2 linked regions of the Caenorhabditis elegans genome follow. The protein of the gene in region 2 interacts with the protein of the main gene of each other region in a pairwise test. Each region holds a gene or a part of one and is shown on either strand. Other genes may lie near its edges.

Evidence for each region.
Region 1: the proteins of rme-6 (region 2) and rab-5 interact in a two-hybrid assay, tested with the Caenorhabditis elegans proteins (one study listed by BioGRID).

The regions. Positions count from the first base shown.
Region 1 is NC_003279.8:9,306,577-9,310,821, reverse strand, and holds rab-5 (small monomeric GTPase), read right to left. Parts: upstream 2,381-4,245; 5' UTR 2,378-2,380; coding exon 2,287-2,377; intron 1,991-2,286; coding exon 1,902-1,990; intron 1,699-1,901; coding exon 1,387-1,698; intron 1,187-1,386; coding exon 1,052-1,186; 3' UTR 601-1,051; downstream 1-600. Other genes in the region: uev-3 (Ubiquitin-conjugating enzyme E2 variant 3), read right to left, coding at 1-68, 433-493; nmat-2 (Nicotinamide/nicotinic acid mononucleotide adenylyltransferase 2), read left to right, coding at 4,003-4,074, 4,122-4,231.
Region 2 is NC_003284.9:1,095,030-1,103,163, reverse strand, and holds the start of rme-6 (Receptor-mediated endocytosis protein 6), read right to left. Parts: upstream 6,013-8,134; 5' UTR 6,009-6,012; coding exon 5,907-6,008; intron 5,854-5,906; exon of another isoform or gene 5,852-5,853; coding exon 5,765-5,851; intron 5,721-5,764; coding exon 5,623-5,720; intron 5,266-5,622; coding exon 5,163-5,265; intron 5,120-5,162; coding exon 4,817-5,119; intron 4,522-4,816; coding exon 4,413-4,521; intron 4,361-4,412; coding exon 4,044-4,360; intron 3,996-4,043; coding exon 3,840-3,995; intron 3,511-3,839; coding exon 3,342-3,510; intron 3,294-3,341; coding exon 2,859-3,293; intron 2,547-2,858; coding exon 2,255-2,546; intron 2,209-2,254; coding exon 1,981-2,208; intron 1,693-1,980; coding exon 1,558-1,692; intron 1,507-1,557; coding exon 1,281-1,506; intron 1,234-1,280; coding exon 1,118-1,233; intron 664-1,117; coding exon 591-663; intron 516-590; coding exon 318-515; intron 117-317; coding exon 1-116. Other genes in the region: pigx-1 (Phosphatidylinositol-glycan biosynthesis class X protein), read left to right, coding at 6,151-6,327, 6,852-6,979, 7,029-7,095, 7,149-7,239, 7,287-7,382, 7,429-7,601. UniProt on the Caenorhabditis elegans protein: Acts both as a GTPase-activating protein (GAP) and a guanine nucleotide exchange factor (GEF), and participates in endocytosis. Acts by regulating the activation of rab-5 by exchanging bound GDP for free GTP at clathrin coated pits.

The sequences.
Region 1 (4,245 bases), on a different chromosome or scaffold from region 2:
TGTAACCTCATTCCGTGGAGTTTCATCTGATGGTATTGCAATTGGACGGGCACGTCGACGTGTTGCAGCTGAAAATTAAAAATTCAAAGTTCCTACTAGAAAGTTTGATTTAAAAAGCTAAAATTGATGACAAAAATTACAGAACTATTTTCTTTGTGTTTTTTCACTACAGGCACGGTACCCGGTCTCGACACGACAAATTATTGTTAAATATAAAAAGGTGCGCGCCTTTAAAGAGTACTGTAGTTTCAAATAATTTTCCATACTTTTTCATTGCTTTTCGAAAAAAAAATCAGATACATATTTAAAAAATGAATGTAAAAATTTAAAAAAATTAAAAAATCTCAGATGATTTTGTATATTTTAAAGTAAATTTATTTAATTTTTAAATTTAACTTTCTTTTGAATTCAATTGATTTGAAAAGCATTTACTTTTTGTGGGCGTTGGTTCTGCTCGAAGAGGCGGTCTACTTGTTCCAGGTTGATCGGACATTTGTATTCTTCAAATAATTCTCACCTTGTTGTTTTTCAGAAAATTGAATTCAATATCTAATATCGATCGTATACGAAGGGTTTTGTGTTACCAAGTATATACATTTTCGAACTTCAATTTATTCGGATAGATTCTGAAAGGATGCTATAAAATTTTGAAAAAAAATTGACAAAAAGGTGGTGAAACTTTGACGAGAAAAGTACTAACAGTGGGATGGTGGGGTTCGGGACTTGGATGTTGATGGTGAGAAGCAATAAATAATTGGAACATTTGAATGAAAAAATGGGAGTTTTCGCATATAAAAAGCAAATGGGCAGAGCCAATTGTGCAAGCTCATTCACTGGCTGAACATTAGTCAGAAATATACAAAAAATGAGAAAATATGGGTTAAAAGAGTGAAAATAAATAAAGAAAGCGAGCACAAAAAACTTGTTCAAAAGTGTTTTTTTTTCGAGGGGAAAACAATGACGACGATCACAGGCGTTGGATTCAAAAGATATATAGAACAAAAGAGGAGCGGAGCTAGAAGGGTTGATGGTACATGAAAAAGTCGTCAATTTATTTACAGCATGAACCCTTTTGTTGCTGTTGTGGTTGGTTCATATCGACAGTTCCCGTTGGTTCACCCTGTGCTGGTCCGATTGGCAACTTTTTAGCTATTGCCATGAAAATATCGTTCACGTTCATTGAGGTCTGTAATTAAATAAATAGAGAATTGATTTTAAATTGGAAATCTTAAATTTCTCATTCATTTTTTAATGGAGATTAGTTCAAAAACTATCTTCGCAGAAAACAAAGTTTATTGTTATTTTTAATAACAATTTTAGTTTTTGATCTATTTCAGTACTCTGTTAACATGTTTTTATTGTCAAAATCCAAATTTTCTAATGTACCTTCGCAGATGTCTCCATGAACAAGAGAGCATTGTCCTCAGCATAAGCATTAGCTTCTTCATACTCAACAGTTCGCTTATTGGCAACATCAGCCTTGTTTCCAGCCAATGCCATCACAATATTTGGAGATGCCTGTCGCTGCAGTTCTTTTACCCAATTTTTCGCTTTTTGGAAAGATTCTTGATTGGTAATATCGTAGACAACAATAGCCGCTTGAGCTCCTCGATAGTACATTGGTGCCAATGAATGATATCTTTCTTGTCCTGCAGTATCCCAGATTTCGAATTTAATTGTTGCATCGTCAAGGCACACCTGAAATTTCGAAAATTCAATTCTTAATTATTAACGTTTTTACGTCTTTCAATATAAAATCCGTGTTTTTCGAGCAAAAATCTCCGCAATTATATTATTAAAAAACAATATATTATTAAAATTCGAGATTTTTCATTTTAGTCAAAATTTTTGTTCAAATTAGGGAAAATTGTTATATTTTCACAAAAAATTCAAAAACTCACAGTTTGAGTGAGGAACGCAGCACCTATAGTCGACTCCTGATACTCGTGAAATTGTCCCTTGACGAATCGCAATACGAGAGATGATTTGCCTGAAATGATAGTTTTCTGTGATGTTTAGGTGAAATAAGAGAGCATATACGTCATATGCTAGCAACTATCAGATGACCCATAATTCTAAACATATAAACAATCAAAAGACGAAGAATTAAACTTCGAAATCAACGCAATTTCGAAATTTTGTGACGGTTTTCAGCAACTGCGAAATATGCTACAGACAGAACGGAGTAGAATAAAAAAATCTTTATTTTTTGGAAAACTGTTCTTGTTTGCTTTTATTTTCTACTCCAACCTTTAGCGGTTTTTTCCATTTTCAGTATCAACTCACCTACAGCACTTTCTCCGAGAAGAACGAGTTTGAACTGGCACGTTCTGTTTGGACCTCCAGGCCGGGCGGTTCCTGCGTTTCGGGCGGCCATTTTCTAAATACAAATTTGTTGAATTTATTACATTAAAAATCGATCGAATAAATTACAAGCAAAAAATAAGCATAATTTCACATAGGAAACGATATGAGGGAGGATTCAGCTGAAAAAATATCAAAATGGTTTCAAAGAGAAATAATGTTGCATTTTTCTTTCCAGAAAGAACAAAAAAAATAATGTTCGACTAAAATTCTATATCTCAATTCTCATTGATAAAACAATTTTGAATCCCTGAAATTTCTAGAAAAATTTCTAAAAATCCTTGTACTTAAAAAGTGGAAAAATTGATTTGAAATGAGCAATTTCCGAAAAAGATTGAAGGCACGCGAGAGACTGAAGAGTGGTAAACAAGCGTATTATTGATTCATACGGGTGTCTCACGAGGAACGAAATTGTGATGAAATCGATAAAGAAATACGGGTTTTGATCACTATTTTCATCAATTCAGTTTGCTTATCTCTGCATATTATTCATCACGTGTAATTTGATTAATTGATAAACTTTTTTCTCAAGTTTTGATGAAGTTTGAGATTAAAATTAGTTTTCTGGAAGCATCCAAAAGTAGTGAACGAATTAAATTGCAGGATATATGAAAATCAATAAAACTAAAAAAAAGAAATATTTGCGCAACAGACATCGATGACACACACGGGCTTCGTCGGGGGTAGCCAATTTGGCTGCGTACCTTCTGGGGTGGTGACGGGCGCAGTTGACTGAGTATTCAATGTTTGTGTGACATCGCAGACAGTTAGACAAAAATGGATGAAAACGGGAGGAGGCTTTTCGGTGCGCGCGCTTTCGAATTTATATTTTTTCGCGCTAGGCCAATTTTACATTTTTGATGAAAATTATTTTTCATTTCGAAAAACTTTTATTTTCCGGTAATTTTTGGCTAAATTTAAAAAAAACGCGCAAAATTAAGCGGAAAAAGTGTGAAATAATAGAGACCCGAAGAACTCGGGGGATGTCCAACTGGGGGGATTACCAACTCGGGGATTGGCCCCGCCTACAGAACCGTGGCTTGCAATACGCCTATTTCTGCAACTGCCGCACGGTTTTAAAACTGTATTTTTCTCAATAGAGCGAGAAATAACAAGAAAAAATAATTTTAAAACCGTGCGGCAGTTGCAGAAATGGGCGTATTGCAAGCCACGGTTCTGTGGGCGGGGCCAATCCCCCGAGTTGGTAATCCCCCCAATTGGACATCCCCCGAGTTCTTCGGGTCTCAAATAATATTCAAGAAAATTCAAAAGAGACTACTGTAGCTGAGTCGTTGCGAGACAACTTTTTTTGTTTGAGCCATGTCCCTTTAAGAGTAAACTGTATTAGAATGTTTTCACATTAAAATTCTCATTTTAAATTTGTTTCATGCTTAATTTTAATATTTCCCAATCATAAAAATTTGTCGATTTTGTGAATAAAAGGTTCAATAAATAAGAAATTTCCTAAACGTATCCTGATTTTCCACCTGACTTGCATTTTTTGACACACTTTTAAAAAAAATTTTTCGTTTCTGATCACTCTCGATATTTTTCATATTTTTTCAAAAACGTTTCGTTCTAAATAGCTCAGAAGAAAACAAAATATTTTTCAGTTTCAATAAATATTGTGATAAAACGATGAAACGAGTCGCTCTTCTTGCCGTCGGGTCGTTCAATCCACCAACAATTGCACATTTACGTATGCTTGAGGTAATCAAATAAAAAAAACATTAAATGTATGATATATGAATTTTCAGGTCGCCAGGTCACATCTCGAAACGATTAATACACAAGTTGTTGAAGGAATAATGAGTCCCGTTGCTGATTCATACAACAATAAACCAACGCTTATAAAATCTAATTTTCGGTAGAAAAAGTTTT
Region 2 (8,134 bases):
TATTCAACAGCCGACTTGAAGTTGACCCAGTAGTAAGCATCACGTCCCGACTCGATGCGGTCACCGGCAAAGGTTTCAACAAATTGCACGTTAGACAGAAGAGCACGTGGATTCGCCTGGAAATGAAAATTGAAAGCTTCAAGCTAATATCGAAATTTAAAAAAAAGAAGTTCAACTACATAAATGTTTTAACTAGATATATGTATAACTGACAGCTTTTTAGTTATTACTATAGTCTGCAGCGGTGAAGCCTAAATTTTAAATTAAATTTAAAATATTTTCCAAAACAAAAACGAAATTTCAACTGCTTCTCTCACCTTAATAATCACAAAAACTAGAACCGGTGTGAGGTCATCTGCGGATGCGACCGCGTTTTTCGAAGACAACGCCACCAGGTTGTTGATGACGTCACAGCATCGGACCACACAGTTGAGCTTGTCCTGAGCAGTCACATAAATATCCAGCATTGAGAGTTCCGCCTGAGCAGACGGCCAGGGAGCTTCACCGTGGAGGTGCTGCAATTTTTATTGTGTACAATATGTTAGTCAATTTTTTTCAATTCAATAAAAAACAAATAATAAAAAATAAACTTCTGGAATTTTCAAAAAGTCGTTGACCGGCGTGACTACGTCAGAAACTTTGGCGATGGTTCCACGGAGCAACCTGAGAAAATAACATGAATTATTGTTCAAGTTTTGGTTTTCGATTAAAAAAAGGATTAAAGGACGATCCGTTCTTCAAGTGCTATGCACTGCGGATCTGGGATTCAGGTACACTGCCTGGTGGTGATCCCTCTGAGCTGTAATTTAAGCCACGTCCTAGCCGGGGGCTGTGGCCGTTAATCCAGTCGTGGATTGCTCCACTTCCCAATAGAGGCTGGGTGAACCTAGGGGGTGAGGCCAAAATTGAACTCGTGACCTCCAGACTGCTAGCGGCCACCACTACCGACTGAGCTATCTGCCCCCCTCCCTTAATATTAAATAGCAATTTTAAGCTTAAAAGCCACAATTTTTGCACAAAATTTCTGGAGCATGGCTTCAAGAGTAAGCCAAATTTTTCATCACAGTTTCTAGCTATTACACTTGTTGAAAGCTCCCAAGTCTCAAAAAATCCTCACTTGTCTCTGTGATGATCCGCATCTCTATTCGGGTAGAATGCGTTATCATAAACCGCAAAAATCACATAACGCTCGATGGTTGTCATGGCTCGCGACATCATTGTATCCGTGGCAAACTGAAACCATTTATAAATTACTAGCTTCTTTATACTAGCTTCCTTACATTCCAATCCACGTTTTGCATCAAGCGATCCCTCAAAAATGTGAGTAGATTCTTCAAAAACTCGGCACGTTCATCCTGAGCTCGAAGGTATTTGAATTCGTCGTAAAACTTGAGCACGGCCGTCACTTCCTGAGTTTTGCCAACTGTGTGCTTGTTGTTGAAGCCCGTTTCCAGAAAAGTGCGCATGAGGAAATCAACGAGGATTTGCTCGGTGAGCCGGCGGTTTCTAAAATAATGAAAATCGATGAAAATTTACAGATAAAGGAAGGATGCTTACAACAAAACTCTTTGCTCCAACGAAGAGATATCATTCGATTTTCTCATTAGTGAAGCACGTTCCTCACGCATTCCATTTACGATTTTGTCCTGCTCAGCTTCATTCAATTTCAAATGGTCCATGAGGATTTCAACGCTGAAATTTTTAAAGGTCTCATCTACAAATCAATACTGAGGATATGGAATTTGGCTAGTATGAAAAGAGTCTAAGCTTAAGCCTTGACCTAAATCTAAGCCTATGCCAAAGCTTTCGCCTAAGGCTCAGTCTTAGCCGAAGCCTGAGCCTAATCCTAAGCCTAAGCCTAAGCTTAAGCCTGTATGAACCTTCGAAAAATGTCATCCATTATAAAAATGAAGATTGTTTCTATCGCGTATTTCACTGCTTGAAATAATGTTTTTCGAATAGTTTCATTCCCGCTCTTACCCAGCGTGCTCAAAGAGTTCGATGCATCGCTTGACTTCTCTCAACTGAGCCGCAAGCCCGTACTCTCTCCTGTGCTCAGTTTCCACGAGGACTCCATCCAAAAACCTCCCAAGCAGCACTTTCTTGTCCCACTCATTTTGCTTTGTCTCGTTGCGATACCCGATCCTTGGCAAGTAGGAAATGTTCCCGAGAACTGTGATCATTTTTCGAAGGGTGTCTTGAAAAGCCCTGAAACACCATAATCTGGATAATATAGATGAATTAAAAAACTTACCGACAACCAACCAGATTTTCAGACGAATAATACGGCTCCAGTGGCTCTTTTCTCGGAGTCGATGAGGCAGAGGCAGTGCCATCAATTAGATTCCCGAGCGCTGGTTTTTGCTCTTTAATCGATGATATCGACGCGTACTTAGCCAGAATATCGTCACGTGGACCTGTAGCAACGTCTGGTAGGTTTTGCTCACTGCTGCTAGTGGGGATGCCTGACGGAGGTGGTTTTACAAATGATCCCGAACGACGGAGGTGCTCACGGATGTCGGATAGGGTGTTGGATTGTGTGATTCCTAAAACTCTAGCTAATATGTATGTTTGAGAATTCGCGCTGGATGGAACTGAAAGCTAATTGAAAGTGGGAGGACTAAAGTTCATTTTAAAATGTTAAGAATCAGTTTTTCAACCACGTATTTCAGAGGTGCGTGGAATTTCAGCAATCACAGATTGCCGGAAAATGGTAATTTCTTCTAAATGCCGAAATTCTCCAACAGTTCAATTTCTGCGTCCTTTCACTACTCGAACTTTAACTACGCAGGTAATCCGCTCTGCCTGGTACTTCCCAAAAAAATTAGCTCAACTTAGTAAAATAGTAATCTTCTTACCCTTCTTCATCCTATCGCTCAAACTTTTCAGTTTAGCAAGTTTTCCTCGTTGCTCGCCACCAACTCCTTGATCACCAATCTGAAGTTCTTCTGTAGATGTGAGAGGCTCGGGGGACACTGATGTTGAGTCACTGAGATGTTCGCTGTTAGTTTCAGCTGAACCAGACGAAAAGTCAATAAGATTGTTTTCCACTGGAGTCTCCTTCGGTGCTGGAGTTGGCTCCAGAAGCTTCTCCAAATCAGCCAACTGTCTCCTTTCCTCGGCCTTCTTTTTTAGACGATCAGCTTCCGCAACGTCTTTGTAGTTTTTGGGGCTATACTCTAAGTAGAACAAATCAAAGTTCTCTTTTCCAAAAGCTAGTGCTTCTCCCTGTTTTGCTCCGAGCTCATTGATATCGTTGAAAGAGTCACCGGTTCGTTTGAATGAGTGTTGAACTGAAAAAAAGTGTCAGTTATGAAAAAAGTTCCCATTTGGGTGTATACCTTTTCGATGAATATTACGAAGTGTTGATATTTTTGGTGAAGCCTCTAGGTTGTCAAAGTGTGACTTTTGAGTGGTGGAGCTGATTGTGGCGGGAAGCTTGTCGCATACTGATAAAATTCTTGAGAGCTTCGCGTCAGAAGTTGATGGTGCATTACGAATAATTTTAATCTGGAATTGAAATTTAGAAATTTCGCTTTTTTTCTATATTCGAAGACCTCCAGGCTTATCCTACCACCTGGTGAAATTTTGGAGGGTATACAACACTTTAGCTGACTAAGATAGCCATACAGATTTTGGATTTGGGTCTATAGCCTGATATCTTTTGACTTAAGTCTAGTAGCTTTTTTGTCTGAAACCAACATCATCACTGATTTTCCTATCACTGTTTTTTAGCCTATTTCTAAAACTGACGTCCCTCGAGCCTAACACTTTTGGGTCTTGACAATAAGAGCGTTTGTCTAGACTTTCATAAAATTTTGATATTAGGGATGACTCACCAAAACGTTAACATCCGCCACAGTTCCAACAAAACTCGATTTCGTAGCCATATCCGATTCAGCAGTCCCGTTCGCGATAAGCGACGTGATCTCAACGTCGGGAGCAAGTTTCTCCACAAGTAAAGCATCCATCATTTCTGATATGAGATGTGTGTTCTGAAAAGCTTCTAGTTGAGAGCAGTATCAATTCCAAAGACAACTCACCCGACACTGGCTCAAAAACTCTTTGTACTCTTCCGGCGGCGATTCAAACTCCCTCAATGAAATCATTTGGATAATCATCGCGATTTGAACCAAGTTATGGTTTACAATTGTCCCAACTCTGACATCATTATCCACAACTCCAAACTTTTGCGGACTGATGATTGCCGGGCAAATGAGGTTTGAAACAATCATATCCTTGCAAGCATGACTCAGCTCAATAGCTGACACATCATCGACCACCTCGTACAGCGAGCAGAATATGTCTCGAATGATCCAATTCAAATTTGGTGGAAGCATTGGCAGAGCTTTCGAGATATCTAAATGCATTGAAAATTTTATATTTGTTCTGTTTGGCGGAAAACAACTCACTTTCCAGAAAAGTGTCAACAAAATCGACTAGCTTGGAAACAACGAGAGCTCTGTATTCGGGTAGGCGATCCTCATTCTGCTTGTTATCACGTAAGAACCGAGCCGTGGACTGAAAAATATAGACGTATGAAAAGCTCTCTTGAAAGTGAGTTTTTTTCCAGCAGCTAAACCAAAACCAGGTTTTTAAAATTGAAATTGTTTAAACAAATTGTCAAGCCTTTTCAAGCCTACAGAGCTTGAAATGAAACTTTAAGTATTTTGTGGATGACATATACTACACTAACAATTGTTTTAACAGCTAGTAACACTATTTTGGTCAGTGCAATTTTTGAACCGAATTCTGTGGTTACTGTATAAGCTTTTCCACATCCTAGTTTTGGTCAGTGCAGAATCATAAAATTTACCTGTTTTGCATCGATATCCAACCAAAAGCTGCCCAACTGAATAACATCCAAAACCCCTTTCCTCAAAGCTTTTGTTAGATATACCATTGTCGGATGTATTAGTTCTACAAAATGCTTGTAGAATCTCGTTGATATGGAAGTTTCCTTCCGCAGAATTGTCCTCATCTCACTGCCAGATCTGTATAGTTGAAGCTTCAAAAGATTACACACAACTTGTGCAATCTTGAGCTCATCCTCTGGGTACAGAGCGCACGAGTAGACGAGGTGGAAGAGTACTTGAATTGTGGAGTCGTTTGATGTAATCTGGAAATTATAGGTAATGTGTTGAAACAATGGAAAAACTCACATCATTTCTGTCAATGCTATTCAATAGTTCGGCGACCGACTGGGGCTCATTGTACAATATTGTCAGCAATTGGTCAAGAGTGGAAAAGTGATGCCCGACGTGCCTGAATTTTTTAATTTGCATTTTTCCTGTATTGTTATGTTGGCTCGTATGGCATTTTCGGAATAGTGGTCTTTTTAAATTTTCCAGTCATATTTTATGTGAGTTTACGGGCAATATGTTAAAGTGATCATTCTGGTTTTCATGGTTTTAGGCATGAAAATTATTTTGCTCATTTAAGTTTCAGTTATCGAAAATTGTATTAATTAAAAAATTTAGGTTCGTAAATCGACATATCCAATATTTTATGACATGGTGCAACTCGACCGATAATTTCTGTCATTCACTACACTTCATATAAATTCAATTTATTGGCAAAACTCGGAAAATGTCGGTTGCAGCTCAGCTTTTCTTTACTCACTTGTATGCTGGGAGAGCTTCAGTTTCACTAATCTCTTTGAGAAGCCTGCATGCAATTGTTGGCTCGAGTGCCTGGTTTTTGAGCTGACGTCCAACGTTCTGAACAATATTTAGTGGGAATCCTAATCATCAAGAACACTTACATTCCAGTAGGAGCTTCTCCATGCCTCGGTGAGCAACTTAATTTCGTTATCCGATACTTCTTGTTGGTGTCTGTTCAGAGAGTGGAGCTGAAAAATTGAAATTTGTATTTGAAATCACTTTTAAAAACTTCAAAATTCCTACCTCAGCGTCCGTAAGCAATTTTTGATTGCGAATTTTGGTGGCCAACTCATAAAACTCCCGATACTCGTCCTGAGACCGAATCCGCTCGATGATATCGGCCATTTACCTGAAAAAAAAAAAGAAAAATTAAGCAAGAAAATTTATTTAAAATTCAGTTTTCAAAAAAAATCGGTGTAACACAAAAGAAAAGACAAAGAAAAAGAGAGGATGAGTGCGCGGGTCTGCACACCGGTTCACGGTGGCCATGCACACAATGCACCACACTTTACGACACCTCCTCCTAAAGGCAAACGGAGGAGGGACCTTGATTATCGGGAAAATGGTGGCCAAAGATGGTTTATTCACACTGCTATTTGCAATACTAATTGTAAATGTTCAAAGTTGCATTTTGCTAGCAAAAGATAACCATGGAGATATGAAGGTAAATTAGAATAGGAATTGTTACAGAAAAGTCTTAAATAAAACTTAAAATTAACCAAAACCAGGAAAAATGTTCAAAAACATGATTAAATATATCAGAAATATTTTTCAAAGTTGTTGTGAAGTGTTTTAATATACGTTAAATACTTTTAAAAATATTTTTCCACTGGTTTTATTTTTCGTTTACCTTTTTTTAACAATCAGAAGTGTCAAACATTTTATACATTAATGCTCCTTTTTCAAAAAAAAAAAATTTTTAATGCAGTGCTCTATTTTATAGAATTAGACTTTCCAAACTTATTTTTAGTCCTTTTTACTAAATCCTTTGAGAGTACAGCTTAGTTGTCCTCTTTATTGTAATTTTTGACAATAATTTCAACATTAATTTGTTTTAATTTTTCGAAAGGTCCCCGTATAAAATTTACTTGGGCCTATCTACAAAGTAAAGCAATGAAACAGTGCTTCTCGAACTTTCGTGATAATCGAAGTAGAACCACTGCAGTAATAAATCTAGTTAACACTTAGGTGAACGGTTATGGACTTCACAGAGAACTGAAACTACCTGCATTCATTCAAACTCAATCCAGAATTCCTCAATGCCGAATTCTCTACAAAATCGAGATTCCGGAAGGTGTCTATGTTGATGAAAGAGAGTAAGACTATAAACATTTGATTATTTTTAATAGTTTATATAAGTTTCAGGTTACAAAGTGCAAGGTTTGGCTATGATTTTATAGTTTTACCGGTAAAGAAAACCAATTCACAAATGGTAAGCAATGAACATTTTTTAGAAATTTTTTCATTAAAAAATCATACGTTCAGCTCTTTGCCATCAAGAAAAAGCTTTACCTATCAACATTTGAGATGAAGAATCTTCTAAAAATCAAGATACATTTACATCCGCCGAGTAAAGGTTTATTTTTCAATTTTGACTGAAAATTCCCACGGACAAATTTTCAGCTTTCCCAAAGTCTCTAAAATTCCCTGTTCCAACAATTGCTGTAGACTGCAAAGGGGATTTGTTCAAAGGTTGCACAACACTTAAAACTTCTCGTGGTGGGTTTTCTAAAAATTTTTCAGACTTGTAAGTGTTTTTTTTCAGATCTCAGGCTAAAATCAGAATCTCCCAACTGGTTGTCAGTTAAGAGCCCAAGCAGAGCTCCTGTGGAATTGGAAACGTTCCGAGACGAACAACTTTTTGCAGATTTCGGATATGAATCGTGTTTTTTGCTGGTTACTACTTTGCTCACTTCTATGTATTATTTAATAAAATAAAATTTTGGATTATTCAATAAGAAATATTATTTGCAACTGTAATTTCGGTTATGTGTGCACTGACCAATTTTGTGTTGCCACTGACCAGCTTGATGAGCGCAATCACCAATTTTGTGTTTGCAGTGACCAAATCACAAATTTAAAAAATTTTTATAGGGGTTGCAGAGCACAGTTTTTATATGTGCAAGCGTGTTGTCAACCAATTTTTTGGGCACATTTCCAAGACACAATAGATTTGTAAAAAATGTTTGCACCAGCCCAGTCACTACTGAAAAATTTGAATCAAATTTGGGCCACCAAAAATATTAATTTAATTTGATCTGAATCGTCAAAATCTGTAAAACTTGTAGAAGTTGCACAGATTATCAATTATTATGCTCTGAAGCTTACCAAATTTTATAACATCACACTTTTCGCGTCATTTAGAATTATACTGCTTCCCACCATGAGTCACAGGCCAACAACTATGTGAACTTTCCGTAAGTTTTCCGAATGACTCATAAAGTGAGAGCTCCGTGCTTGTTTTGTCTGCT